Arabidopsis thaliana: one gene and its partner. The protein of the gene in region 1 interacts with the protein of each later gene in a pairwise test. Each region holds a gene or a part of one and is shown on either strand. Other genes may lie near its edges.

Region 1 (7,173 bases):
AAGACAGTAAGAGAAACATTGTTACGTCAAGTAGTCAAGTACGTTTGTTCTAGTATCGTATGTTGTGGGGGAATTAGCCTTGTCGAATCTAATTCACATATTATTTTTGTGGAAATTTGACTAATGGATAGTTTATCCGTCCATAAAACAATGACCCAAAATCCAAATTTGGTTGAAGTAAATCTCTATAAATACCACGTGAATTTAACTATGTTTTGTGTGCAAATTTTTTTATTTCCCAACAGTTTAGAAATATCTAGAAACAAATGCAAAAAGACAACCAAATTTCTTCAAAATTATGTTTTAAAAAAAGAAATAAGAAAATTCATCTTTAATTTTGCATTTTGTATTAAAAATTGTTAGAAAACTTTTTTTTTTGGTGAACAAAATTGTTAGAAAACTTTTATACATCTCTCTTTAATTCTTGTATTAAAGGTACACTTCACAAGTTTTTTTTTGGTTATTTTTCTTTTGACTTCTCAATAATGGCTAAGTCATTCGATTCACAAGGATTCCGTGTACTTCTCCATTTAGTCCAAACAAGGAAACAAATATTTATAGAAATGACAACATTATCCTAATCATACATTCAAATATCCAAAAAGGACACAATCTCCTTTAAAAAGCCATTTTTGAATCTTCTTGGATAAACAAACAAAGTGTCTGTCTCACACCAATGTTTCAAATTTTAAGATTACAATTAAATAAATATAAATTGCTAAGTTTCTTTCTACACAAGACATTCCACTGCTCCTGCACTTTTCTTTCTTCTCGGTCTAGAAAAGATTCAATGAATAGCTCTTTAGTTGTTGCATTCAGGGAGCTTCCGAGAATAAACTAGCACCATTACAAATTCCTTTGCAGATGAACCTATTGACGCAGCGACTCTTTGATGCTTAGAAGTTGTTTCCAACCATAGGTCTACTAAGCTGTGAAGCTGCAACGTTGGGATCACTGGTTCTCCCATACATGTTATCTCTACCTGTTTACAAAAAAAAAACATAGAGTAGTTAAGGTTCAACACCGGTGGGTCGAAAAAGTCCCAGATCATAAGATATCACCCGGTACACAAGTCGGAAATAAAAGGGAGAGTTAACTTTAGTTTAAACATTTATGGGGACCTTACAGTCATATTGATAAGCACAAGACTTGAACCAATGTATAGAACTACGGTCTATGTGATTCCATATTAGACCGAGTGGATACCTCATATAAAACAGAAAAGTAGCCACTGCATAAGATAAGATTGCTTACCTCATCTTCACTCTTGAGATCAAGCTTCCTCATGAGGTACTTTTGGATAAAAGAAACTGGAATATTTCCATCCCTACCATATAATGAGACAGGGGATCAACTCTGGCACAATATAATTCTCCCAAACAAGAAAATAGACACCTCCCAGTCAAGGATTAGGTGTGATGGGCCAAAAAAGAAGAAGGCTTTATCAAGAAACGTATACCACAGAAAACAAACATGACATGGAAACTCGGGTAAAACAACTGCGAAATCGAATTCAAAGCCATCAATGCAATAATAAGTAATATTTGATCACAGACTTCACAGTTGACATATAAAAACTTAGTGACAAGAAACAGAGCAAAGCAAAAAGAACAACTTACCTTATTCTCAAGTAGTTTGCTGGAATCTGAGGCAATGATGCTTCTCCTTCCCTGAAACCAGTAAAGCCGTGTCACTAAGAGATAGAAATGAAAAGACACAGAAAATATTGAATATCAGAAGTACTCAGAGTCTCAGATACAGAACAGGAATCTCACTGATTACTTGACGCTACAAGTGAGAACCAAACATGACCGTTTCTCCTCTCCTGTTTTAGGCTTGCTGCACCTGGTAACAGTGGAATTCTAGAATCACCAAAAGTAGATGACCTTTTGCGACGAGTCCGACGCGTTCGTTTAAGTGTAGCAGTTTCTGATGTTGTAGGATCACCGTTATTGCTGATCTCTTCCTCGAGTTTACACTTTCTTTTATGATCCTTTGTTTTGGTTTTACTCCCCTGAACATCATTGTGGGATGCGTTTCCAAGCTCAGATTTTGGGTCCTTTGTTCCGTTTGCCACATCCACAAGAAAATTTAGAGGTTTCCAAAGATGTAATTTGGAATCCCATGGTTCATCAACATCCTTGTTTCTTCGATTAGAGAGGGACTGGTTAGGATTTGCATATGAAGACTGCAAAAAAAGAATTAATAAATAAATAAATGTATGGGGAACTATATAAAGACCATAATCAGTCATAACGTTGTGTTTGGACTTGGTAAAGAGAAAAAGTAAAACATAAAGGTAAAGAGAGAACTGCAATGATCACCTTCTTTACCTGTCTTTTATTCTGAGTAAACTTTTTAAGTGTTTCAGGCGAGCTTGCGCTCTCTACATGATCATCTCCAAATTCTTCTTCCTTCTTCACTGTTCTCTTAGTGAATGAACCACTACCTCTTACATCTTTTCTCGTAGCAGCTTTTGTTCTTTTTCCTGTTGTACCAGCTTGTGCTGAAACCCTGGGTGTGCTTACCACCAAAGACGAGATAGACCTCTCCTTCCTCTTTGCAGGTAATGAGATGGAGGACACAACTTCAGGCGCTCTCTCCTTTTTACGTTTTAGAGGAAATAATTTGGCTCTCAAGTCTTGCAAAATGTGGTCAGGCCTAAAATAAATACATAAGAGTGGTTCTTTAGAAAATGAATAAGTTCGCCACCAACAAAGCTCTTACTGGTGACCAACTAGTAAGAGAGAGTGTAGTACTAAAGAGATTTGTTTCAGGTTCTAACAAAAAATTGTTGGTGTCAGCGAAAGTATTAAACTAGCCAACATATTCAGGTCATAACTGCTTCTGAATCGAAATGACTTTTCTTGATTAACTTCACACTATGCCACAAAAATTACGGAAGAACCTTCCATATGTGGCACACCTCAGCATAATCATGTACAACTTTTCAGCATTATGTAAGAAAACTTCGTTTCATCAACAGTAAGAGCCAAAAGGCTTCTAACAGTCTATACAAGGAATCACTGCTAAACCAAGACCGAGGAGAAAATTGTGTAAGGAATAAAGAAGAAGAAGAACTTACCTTAGTTTCTCCAGTGGGGTACCCCCGAGGTCAATATCGCATACTGGACAGCTCTCTATCTCATCCTCTGTGATTTTCTCATAAATGCATTTCCTACAAACTGCATAAAAGTGATATAAGAACTTGTTTCATTTCAATAGATAGTAACTATCAAGTAAGAACAAAATCTTTTGTAATAAAGGCGACCAACTTACATAAAAACAAACAATTTCTCAGATCAAAAGTTTAAGTAAAGAATGAATAGCATAATGTTTGAGGTTCAATGCAAGTTGGCTCGCTGCCAAGTTTGAATTTATTAGATGCAAGTTAGATTATCGGACTCCTTCCACCAAATCCATTATAGCAAGGCCGATAATTGGTATGGTCTCTACTGCATCAAGTTATATTAGTTGTCATGGCAGAAGCTTGTAGACAAGTGGTTAATGAGCATCATACTGTTTGGTTTTAAAATCAAGAAAATCCATAGCTACCAACCTAAACAAAAGAGATGGAATCACAAATTTGATGGGGATACTGCATTCATCCCCAGAAACAAAACCGTGAAGCATTTAACACCTAATTTTGGCACTGCAGTAACTCAAAAAGAGATTCTGCAGGGCGTTCTGAAAATTTTATTAAATTGAGATAAGCAGTTGGTCAGTTGTACAACGGAACCGAACTGTTAACATTTACCTTTTTAAAATCAGATGGAATGAGTAAAATAATTACAGAGTAACAAGGTATATTTCTCCGTAAACGGTAACAAAGAATTGGTTGTGTAAAGCTTGGAATGGTAGATTGATTTAGACTCCAAAAGGAATATAAACTAAATTTGAATAAATTACAGAGATCAGCAAATACTTCAACATGCAGAAAACTCACTACTAATCTGGATTGTATGTTAAAAGAAATAAATTAAGCCATTCCAAACAGAAAATGATCTAAACTGTCTTAATTGTATAATATCATGTAGAAGAAAGAGGCTGATAAATGCTACTTAATCCAAATATTAACTTACATTAAACCGATGAGAGTAGATTAAAGCACTTGTTACTCGAACTTCCTAACACAAAACTTACAAGTTGGATATAACAAAGCAACTGAATCTAACTAACAACATGATTAGCCAAAACCAAATTTGGACGTCATGAGTTTGACCAAACCATCTTTGACGAAGAAGAAGACACTCACAAATTTTACCTAAAGAGACGAATAAAGGAGGATTCTTGCAGTCTAAATGTAAACAAAGATTACAAATTCTGCTCAACAACAACTATTACTTTAGTTGAGAAAACCAAACAAAACTATTCATTGACTCGAGTTTCATCAAATCGACTGAGACATAGAGGAGATCATAAGTGGCATACGAGACTAACAACAAGAATCATGCAGATATTCAATCCAAATCAGCAAGAGGAAGAAAAAAAAAACACAACAGAGAACCAATCAAAGAAGACGATAAAGACGAGAAATTGCGAAAATTAGAAACCGGGTAAAATCGAATCGAAACGTAAATCGAGAAGGGGAAAGAGGAACTAACACGTGTGAAGACACTCTGAAATGGTAGTGGCGTCACGGAGGAGTTTGTCACAGAGAGGACAAGTCATGCATGCCACCACCGTTTCTCTCTTCACTTTAGCCACCATGTCTCCTTCCATTGCTCTCTTAACGACTCCTTTAAATCCTTGATGTCTATCTAAACGAGGATTGATCGATGAATCGCACGTACTATCCCCAAAACTGCATGTAGAAGAAAAACAACGACCCACCAAAAAAAAGAACCCAGATTTACGTTAAACAACAACTCTCGTGCGAGATACCTACATTCAAATCCAAATCCGATGGAGACTCAAGACCGAATATATCCGTAAAGGGTCGAAGAAAATCAGAGTGAAAGAAGTCTCAATCGGAAGAAATAGAGTGATGAAGAAGAGTCGACGAGGTTGAAGAAGGGAGAATCTGGGGATAAAAATGGAGAGAGATTCGAAGGAATAGGGTGAGTATAAAACAGAGGAGGAGACGATCTGAATCGAGGAAGAAGGTGAAGGTGAAGAAGAAGAAGGAAGGGGTCTCTCTAATAAAGAGGCAAGAGGGGTCTTCGTGTTGAGGAGAAAGAAGAGAAGCGAGCGATACCGTAAAGAGTAAAAGACGTTCCTTTCTTTACTCTGTTTTTATTTATTTCCCAATTGTGTAAATGGGCTTTTCCGAGGCGAAACAATGGTTTAGGGCTGCAAAGTCCACCACCGATTTAACCCTCTCTCCTTTTTTACTGATATTGCGTGATTTTAATCTTTTTATTTTTGTTTATTGACATCATTAGGAAAATTACTTGGAAATAAACAAGATGAAGAGGTGAGTCAATTAATTAATAAAACTTAAGAAATGAAGAATTAAAAAATGAAGAGGAGGAATCAATTACACTTGACAGAGAGTATGCTTCTCAATGATTGAATTTTTGGTTCTAAATATATATGTACAAAAGGGAATTACGAGAAAATAGCATCAAAGTAACCGGAAACAATCATAAATATTATAACTGTTAATAAAAATTAAAACCCTTTAAATAAATAAAATTTGAAAATAAAATATTTATATATATATATATATTGTTTATTATTTCTTTTTAAAATTAACGAGTTTAAAGATGTCTATATTTAACTCAATAATTTTTCGTTAATGAACTCTAATAAATAAGTAAAATCTATATGTCCATATGTTATCTCAAGTAAATTTTATCTAATTTATAACTTGGATGTCAAATTCATAATGGATATTTTGAAACATTTTTCCGAAAAGTTGTAAAAATGGCATAAGCTGAAAAAATCGAATACATCTTATCACTTCGCGATCAATTGGAAGGTCACATATCTCTCGCAAGAGCCAACAGTTTTTATGAAAGATCGACAAGTAGATAATTTAATAGTCCATAAAACTTCTAAAATTCAAAGCTAGCTGAAGTAAAAGTGTAAAACCTTATTAATACCTCAATATTGCTTCCTTTTGCAATTATAATTTAACTGTTTCTAAATGTAGAAAAGCATGTACTAACAAACACTACACTGATTCCAATACTAAATATTGGTAAATTGTTAAATCTTTTTGAGTATATACTTTTCTTATATATCAATCTAACATTTTAGTATCCAAAATTAGTATGAAATTTTAATGGTTCTTGCTAATAAATTTTATTTGTTAGGCAAAAATGAATCACAACATAATACATGTTTAGTTAATAGGTATGTATCGAGTTTCTACTTTATGAATCAAAATAATTCACATCATCACTAAGCGACAAAAGAATTTACATATTTCGTCACAGTATGCAAGACGAATCGTACGTTACTTTTAAAACAGTAGAAATACATTTTTATGCCAACTCGTCAAGTACGTTTGTTATAGTAACGTATGTTAGAAGAACTAACCGTTTTTATTTTATTTTAGGAATTATCCGTATTGAATCTAATTTATGCGTTATTCGGTAAAAAAACGACAAGTAGATAATTTATTCGTCCATAAAACAATGACTATTTTTTTTTTGTAAATAACATTCAACACCCCATAATAGAGAGATCAATCAAATATAAACTCATCCAGGGGTTAAAAATTTCAATTCCCAAATTCGACCTCAAACATTCCAGTTGTTCCTCCAAACTCCAAAGTACAAAGCTGTGAATTTCCCACTCTTGAAAATCATTGACAGTACATTCTATCAACGTGTCAAAACATCTATGGTGGCTTGGGAGAATTTCCACTAAGCCAATCAAAAGAAGTCAAATCTTAGTAAACTAGTAATTTTGCTAGCACATGTACACCGCGCCGCACTATATCTGTATCTCAACATTAATCCTCTCCGTATAAAAATCAAATAAATACATTGATTTATAAATATTAAAAAATCTGAGTTAAGCGAAAAAAAATAAAAGAGCAGAAGTCTCTAAACATGCACGAGGAAGCTCTGAATCTCCAGATATGAAATCGTAGAAACAGACTCTCGCATTTATCGAATCCTATTGCAGAAGAATCTGAAAACCCTAATCTGCTCATCGTTTTCTTCAATTGCTTGTTGAAGAAGCAGAGAATCTCCGAGATCTGTGTTCTTCCCTCTGGGA
Region 2 (7,833 bases), on another chromosome or scaffold:
ATTGTGTGTCTTCATACCATAAGTTTATCACCAAATCAAAATAATAGGATCTCGCGTAACCAATTTCTCTAATTTAAGTAAATCATAAATTTCATAAACAAACTTGAAAATAATAAAAATTATGTACAGGTTCGAATTTTGAAACTTAAGATTGCGATAGATAGGCGTACAAATTTGAAGCTCCACCTCCAGAACCGATTCTCTTCTTAGAAGCTTCATCCATTTCCATATTAGATATAACTATTAAGTTAGTGTCCTATGTATTTTCAAAAACCTCATCAAATCTATTTGTCTCTCTCTCTCAAGCCTCAACTCACCACACACCAAACCAAAACACCAGAAACAAAAAGAAAAGCAAACTACAAATTCCTCATTTCTTCGATCGACAATTGGTAGAATGGTCGTAACCACTCAACCAATTTGAGACGAAACCGAAGACATTTTTTGTGTAAATAAGAAACACATACCACTGAAGAATAAATACTCATGGAGAATTCCAAAGCTGTTTAGTTCACAGGATCATGAGCTCCATTTGTTGTGTCTTTCTCAGTTTCTTGTGCGGCTGAGGACGAACCGTGTTCTGTGCTGACCATATCACTGCTTTGCTGTTCTCCTGCTGTATTGGAAATAGCCTTTTGTTTCAGATATGCTTCCAGAGGAAACGCTGCAGCTTGGAGAAGCCTCATCATGCTTACTCGGGAAGCCCCCGGGTCTGAGTTCAAGTCGATGTTTTCCCCTGCGGCTAGTTCAACCGCTGGAATGCTCTCCACTTCTGTCTCGTCCCTGCACTCTGACTGTGACTGCGCCTGCTGGCTTGCCTGTCCTGCCTCTCCTTTGTTCCGCTTCCGCAGCATGAGCGTCCTGAATCGTCTCTTCACTGCCTCGCACACAGTGCAAGTGCATGACGGCTTGTGTTTGCCTTTTCCGCTCGGTGGTTGGCTGCAGACGATGCACGAACACCCTGCCCGGTGTCTTGGATGCTTGGTCGTGGCTGCAACCGTGATTTCCCCCTGTTCACCGGTTGTGGTGATGCCTGCATTTCCTAAACTATTCAGAGCAGATGCATCCTGCGACTGGTTTAGCTTTTCGTTTGATGATGCCAGTCTCCTCCTTTTGAACTCTGTTGAGACGAAAGTTTCGTTATGTAAAGAAGGAAGTTTCTAATTATACAGACCAATAATAGCTGCGGATTTTACCTTTGCTCTGCCGGACAAGTGTATCCTGTTCTCTTGGAGAGAGTTCATCAGGTGCGGAACATGAAGACCTGACGATATAAACAGCAACTCAAATTATTCAGATGGCCAGTCTCAGTGAGTCAAAAATCTATAATTATCCCATATGTGTAGTCTAAGTTATTTCGGAAAAAAATGCGCAATGTTCTGTGGTAACTAGCCTAGGTTAAACACATGAACATGCAACCTCGTTTACCTGCCAGGATCCAAGAGATTATCAGAGCACGACCACTTTGGTGGAAGAAGAATATCCACCGGCAGCTGTCGCCATTTCCCACAAGCATCACACTGCACCCATTGCTCTTGTTCCCTGAGAATTCATGGATCACATATCAGAACCAAATAATCAGATGTTCATTACTTCAAATCTTTCGATCATTCCAAGGGTGCTTAATTCTTCTGATCCTATCATTACATAGTACATGAGGCCTCACCCTGTTTGACGTGAGACAAAAAGGGTCCTCTTCCCGAAAACTGGTGGTTCCTGGGTAGCAGCAAATACATGATTTCAGAAAATACAGTGAAAAGTTCCCAGCTGTTTTTGATAACTAAACAGTTAACAGTAACTCACGTCATATTCTTCAAAATCTTGATTTTCCAGCGTAAAGATGCTGGGTTTGGTGGATTGGGGAGGCCGCAACAGCTCCTGTGCCTCCTCCCAAGTTATTTTCAGTTCCAGAACATCTACGCTATCAATGAGCAGACGCTTGCTCTTAGTCCCAATGTTCCGAACCCGTTTCCTAGCAGAAGTTAAGGACGACTGAAGAAATAAGTTATCCTTTGCCATGTCCTCAGACTTCTCTAGTTTAGACCAATTGATGTCACCACATCCCGGATTCAAGCTGTTGGAAAACATGTTCAGATTGGGTTCACTGCTTCCCTTGAACATCTGAAGAAACACGGAAAAATATTTCACTGAAAGAATCAGTACGAGAGCACCAGAAAAGGATTCTTTAATTCAATACACTTCACAGTGGCAGTTACTTATGCCTAAGGGGGCAACTCTCAGCTTATTATGCATTTACCTGTGTCGCTGTAGAGTTCGTCGCTTTACGGTATCCCATTACGAGTTTTCCTTCAGGTTCTGTACGGCTGAATGTTACTGCAGAGAACATGGAAAATCCAAGACATCAGACCTAATAGAAAAGTACGGTCATCTCTTCGTGGAATGTATTTCACTGTCCTCATGATTGGAACGCTTTAGTGCCAATGTTTCATTTATCCATACCAGGGTGGGTTTATCAATATGTTATGAATGTAGTTAACGAAACAAAAGGATTTGAAAAGTACCAGTGTCACCAGCTTGCAACTGCATGGACTGTATGCAAGGAGTCACACCCTCCAAAACGTACATCCTGCTGTTATTATTAGGCCAAAACCTGAACTGGAACACCCATTCTTTCCCTTTTATGTCTTGTATCTTTAACGGGAGACCCTCGGGTAGAGATATAGGGGGGAAATATGCCTACATAGAAGCATAGACGGTTATAGCTGATACCTGGCATTTAGATAGCAATAGTTTGGGAATATCAAATAAGCGTACAGAGAAACAAGTTACCTCTGCACATGCTTTCGGAAGAACCAGTCGACCAATACGACCCGCATCGCTCGCACTCAGAACTTTTTCAAAGAGTGGTATAATTTTGGAATTTGAGCTAGGAAAATAAACAGTCAAGGACTCCTTAGCACAGAAAAATAGTGCATAATGGTAGAATAAAAGCAGAAACACGATATTATAACATACAGATGAGGATACTGTCCAGATAATTGCAGCAGCTCTTGGTCAGTAATCCTAGGCCAGTAACGGGGAAGCAATTGGGTCTTCCCGCGACCTTCTGGAGGAGGCCGAGCGACATGAATCTGTGACACCAGGCTCCCACTAGGCTCCATGCCAGCAGCAATGGGAGCTGAATTTGCAGGTTTTGGAAGCAGCTGCCTGGACCGAGGGGCCAGTTGGAAAATCGAATTAGTCTTACTTCTGTCATCAACAGCAGCATCATGAAATGGGCTTGTCATAAGCGTAGGTCCAAGTGAAATGCTCAAGTTTGGCTGTGCAGACAATTCTTTCCTTTCAGTTTTGTGTCTAAGAGCATCTAGGCTGGAAGGAAGCAGCGATTCTTCTTGTTTCATTTGAAGAGAAGAATGAGTGGGGTCGATTCTTTGAAAGTGAAGCAAGTGCTTGAGATTTGTCCTCTCAAGAACACTGCCTACATGCTCTGCTGAAGCAAATGAGGGGAAGTCCTTACCGTTAGATTCATGGCTCACATTCATCTGTAAGAGAGATTACATGAGTATAGTGACAGAGAAACCAAGACCAAGGAAGCATCCCTTGCAAGAAGTTAACTCATGGAGAGGAAATTGTCTTACAGAAATTAGTCCGGATTTCTTGGCGCAACTTATACAGGTAACACCACCATTCTCTAGAAGCTCCATCATAAATCTAGAAGCAATGCATCCACAGTGAAGACGCTGAAAAAAACGTAAATACGTATTAAGGAAAACAATTGAAATACGTTGAGTGCAAAAACATGTGTAGTAAGCCATGGATTTTCGTCACCTTGTCACATGAATTACACTCTCTCCAACCAGATTCCTTGGCATGGAACACTTCACAGAATATGGATTGCTCGTATGCACACCTATCAAAAACCAACATTCACAGAGTTTACTAATAAGTAATCATGAAATATAGATTCCCTTCACGTACCCACTCTTGTTCTAATTGTAAGCAAACCCACAGCACTAATCTATCGCAGAAGTGTTGCGAATATCGAACTGGTCGCAAAAGTATTCAAATTAGACACAAGAGTGAAGGCCCTTACCCACACTTATCGCAGAGAGAAGCTAAATCACCGGATCGCATAGGCCAGCCTTTTTTCCACTCGCCCGACGTAGAGGCCGCTCCGCACAGTGCGTTCATGCAAACCTTTATTGACTCCATAATTGACCAATTGAGCGGCTCGATTCAACTGTCAATAACTTCAAATGAAGCAAGAGCCTTATCGTATTCTCCGCACGATGGTGCTTTAATCCACCGCAACTTTCCTCTTTAATAAAGGCACAAGCATTAAAAATATGCAATGATTAAGAAAACTAATTGGTATCAGAAAAGTTAAACACTTACCAGAAAAGGCAGAAGAAGATGTCAAATATATTGTCGAGAAACTCAATACGCTCCTTCTGTGAAAGACTATATACAAATAAAAACATATAAGATGACGATATATAGAAGAAGATACCAACTGTTATAAAGTAATCAAAATCCGTAAATGAATGAATAGTTAAGGACATTTGATATTGACATCTAAAGATAAGATATCATTGCATCCTAAGGAAAAAAAAACGAAATTAAAGTTCACAAGAGACAAAGAAAATCAACAGACCTTTCGAAGAAACTTGTCCAAAAAAGAGAAACCACGAGTCACTTCCATCTCCTCAGTTTTCAACCAAACCAATTCTAAGCTTAGACATGTCCACACGAAACTTCTCAGTGGTGCAGTGGAGATGGAGCCTCTTAAATAATTGTGCCACTGTGATAAAAACGCACCATCGAAAAGTTGACTGATGAATGTATGGAAGTCCAAGAAGTCTACAATAGTGATAATGAGAATAATATCTTGACTGTGAAAAAGGATGAATTGATTCTGTAGACAAAACTAAGTGCAAACCTTAAATAGTCAAATTATTCAATTGAACGGAAATGATCCATCACCTATCTGAGCTACAGTAGGCTAACAACGATTCCACTACCTAGGCACAATTTCAAGGAAGATATAATTCTTATTAAACCGCTAAATAATCCAAAAACTTGCGAGTCAGCAAGATCTAATCTGAGGATACACATAACTTTTAATGCTATTGAAAGAAGAATATAGACTTGAAGAAAAAAATGTAATAAGCAGCTACATTAAGTAAACAAGTAAACTAAATGTAATACCTTAACAGAGATGACAGAAATGTATGCAGGTTTGTCTCCAGTAACAGGAGAAGATATTTGGCTGCAATTGGAAAATACAAAAATTAGGTGAATAACATGACATATTTGGCTGCAATTGGAAATTCATAAAGAACCAAGGACGACACTTTCTTAAGAAGCAATAAAATGATATATAAATCGAACTAGTTTCATTCTTCTTCAAATCTTTCAACTTTGGTTGACCCAAAAAACCACTGATTTCCAAGTAAAGCTTATAACTTTGTAAAAACACTGATGTAAAGGTTCAATTTTTACAATCCTAATTCCGAAATCTACGGTCTTTGAACAAAAAAAAACATGCATAAATCACCAAGTTTCTGAACACTAATGGCCGAGCAAGTAAATTTATCAGAGCATAATCACCGGAGAGGGTTAACCCTTACCTTGGTTTGTGTGGAGAGAGAGCCGATTGATTCGATCGGAAGAGAAGGGATAGTTTTCGACGGAGAAGTGAAGTTAAAAACCAAGTCAAAGTCGTCTTTACGTCGACCAAGTGAAGAAGATTTGAGCCAATTCAATTGCAGCAACAAGAGGTAGTGGCAAAGAGATTTAGAAATAACGAAGGAGTTGATGAATTGGTTTCTAAATAAAGAAGAAGAAGCCACAATGACTTAGAGCGAAAATCTCCATTACCAACAACAACAAAGGGCTCGTGGAGAAGACAACAAATCTGGAGCGTTAGATTACAAAAAAAAAAAAAATGAAACACAAAGAAACTGCTGACGTCAGCCTGACCTAAAACCCAGTATGCTTTATTTATTTATTATGGATGAGAGAATAATGTAAAGTTTACTCAAAGTGTGACATTTTATGTAATAAGATATTAATTAAAGTGCACGCAAAAGGTCATCTCTGTTTCGACCTCACCTAAGGTTTGCTTCTAGATTTATATACGTCTAAATTAGTATTTTGATTTCGATAATAATATTATTTAGTAAAGCATTGAATTTGAGAATGATGAAGTGGCTTGGTTTCTAGGGTTATAAGACAGGAACCCACGACGACCATCACCAACACATCAGCAGATCAGCTACTAGGTCCAACTCCAACTCTTTATTTTTGTTGGTTCAACAATTTACTGCAAAAGACTTAAAAAAATGTAGCCCAAATAATCATGTCAGGATAATGGACCGAAGATTGGTTGATGGGCCGTTTTAGATCAAAAAAATCATTCCACCTTTGGAAAAGATCTCTTTAGCATATTACTTTAAGGTTTGTTGCAAATGAAAAATAGTTGGAAAATATTTTAGACCCTTAAAAGTCTTATCCGATAGGTAAAGTATTTAAATCAGTTCATGGGTTGAGTTTCATAATTGAAACTAGGCATAGATTGGCCCTTTCCTTTCTCTTTAATAAATACTCGATTCATCCCTTTCTACTGTCTGTCTCAATATCTGTACATACCATTCATTGTAGCAATCACTATACGTACATGTTAATGTCTATGAAGTATGAACAATAATAAGAATTGGGTAAGAGAGTTATATATGTTGTTGATAAACAACAGTGAATTCAAAACTATATAATTTAGAGAGGGTTTGTATATCCCTTTTTTTCCTCTGTATGAGTAATGTGAGAACCAATTATTCGTTTATAGATGAATAATAAATTATCTTTCTGTTTATCGTACCGAGTTACCTACCATATTGCTTAGACTGGAAATGCTTTGTTGGTAAAAAGACATGATTGGTTGAAAAATAGATAAAAGCATGAATGGGATTCAAAAACTAACGATAATTAGGAAACTGGATTACCATGGTTGGTAGGCTAAACCCTAGCTATTCTAATCGCTATTACATTCTCACCTACTTTGCATAGTCATTAAATTTGCATATCCACGAATTCGTACTAATAGTTTCGCAGAAAATACACATGCAATCTTATGAATATTGCTTGATTTATTTAAGAAACAAACTTGTATGCAATTATTGGTATATAAATCAGTTATAACCGAGCCATTTGTCAATATGACTTTGACACATGGGTAAGTCTAAACAACTAATTCATACTCTAGTTATCAATTGTCTCTTGTAAATAATTTAGTACGTATTTTTTTAGTTAGTCTTATAGATGAGTAAATCACCCTTTTTAAAATTATTAGATTTTCGGTTAAATGTTTTGGATTCTAAACTCAAAATTAATTAGCAATATGTGATGAAAACCCTTGTAGTTATGTAATTGCATGAAACAAAAATGATTTCAAATGTTATTCATATGTACTAGATCTTCAAACATTAACACATGAACTAACATTTTGGAATTACATCGATATTCATTTAATTGGATCCAAAAGGTTTCAACTTCTCGTTCTGTTATTAGTTTTTGTTTCCTCTTTTTTGTTTTCTATTTATTTTCACATGTTCTAGCTTCTTAATTCTAAGCTAACTTGAGTAGCCTAATAAACTTGTGTCACATGATGAGGACATTTCTCAAATGGAACATTCAGACATTTACACTCCCATACGTTGATATCATGTTATTTGCTATATTAGTCTAATATTGTTGCCTTTCAGATTTCACATATGAAATATTCCTTGTTGTAACCAAGAACCATCTCTGTGTATTTTTACAAGCATAAAATAGTAGTTGACAATATAAAAATAACTATCTGATGATGCAACTCTA

Evidence for each region. The genes of interacting proteins can lie anywhere in the genome.
Region 2: the proteins of DRIP2 (region 1) and HSL1 interact in binary tests that used the Arabidopsis thaliana proteins (3 or more experiments, as listed by UniProt).

Annotation. Positions count from the first base shown.
Region 1 is NC_003071.7:13,023,993-13,031,165, reverse strand, and holds DRIP2 (DREB2A-interacting protein 2), read right to left. Parts: upstream 5,256-7,173; 5' UTR 4,723-5,255; coding exon 4,605-4,722; intron 3,186-4,604; coding exon 3,086-3,185; intron 2,662-3,085; coding exon 2,334-2,661; intron 2,189-2,333; coding exon 1,776-2,188; intron 1,671-1,775; coding exon 1,620-1,670; coding exon of another isoform or gene 1,616-1,619; exon of another isoform or gene 1,328-1,615; coding exon 1,255-1,327; intron 983-1,254; coding exon 803-982; 3' UTR 505-802; downstream 1-504. UniProt on the Arabidopsis thaliana protein: E3 ubiquitin-protein ligase that acts as a negative regulator of the response to water stress. Mediates ubiquitination and subsequent proteasomal degradation of the drought-induced transcriptional activator DREB2A. Functionally redundant with DRIP1.
Region 2 is NC_003075.7:15,477,571-15,485,403, reverse strand, and holds HSL1 (HSI2-like 1), read right to left. Parts: upstream 6,026-7,833; 5' UTR 5,592-6,025; intron 5,231-5,591; 5' UTR 5,170-5,230; intron 4,910-5,169; exon of another isoform or gene 4,763-4,909; 5' UTR 4,616-4,762; intron 4,423-4,615; 5' UTR 4,357-4,422; intron 4,280-4,356; 5' UTR 4,174-4,279; coding exon 4,055-4,173; intron 3,872-4,054; coding exon 3,790-3,871; intron 3,702-3,789; coding exon 3,600-3,701; intron 3,504-3,599; coding exon 2,977-3,503; intron 2,888-2,976; coding exon 2,791-2,887; intron 2,698-2,790; coding exon 2,523-2,697; intron 2,335-2,522; coding exon 2,258-2,334; intron 2,122-2,257; coding exon 1,804-2,121; intron 1,717-1,803; coding exon 1,667-1,716; intron 1,543-1,666; coding exon 1,429-1,542; intron 1,265-1,428; coding exon 1,197-1,264; intron 1,121-1,196; coding exon 507-1,120; 3' UTR 50-506; downstream 1-49. UniProt on the Arabidopsis thaliana protein: Transcriptional repressor of gene expression involved in embryonic pathways, such as LEC1, ABI3, and FUS3. Repressor of the sugar-inducible genes involved in the seed maturation program in seedlings.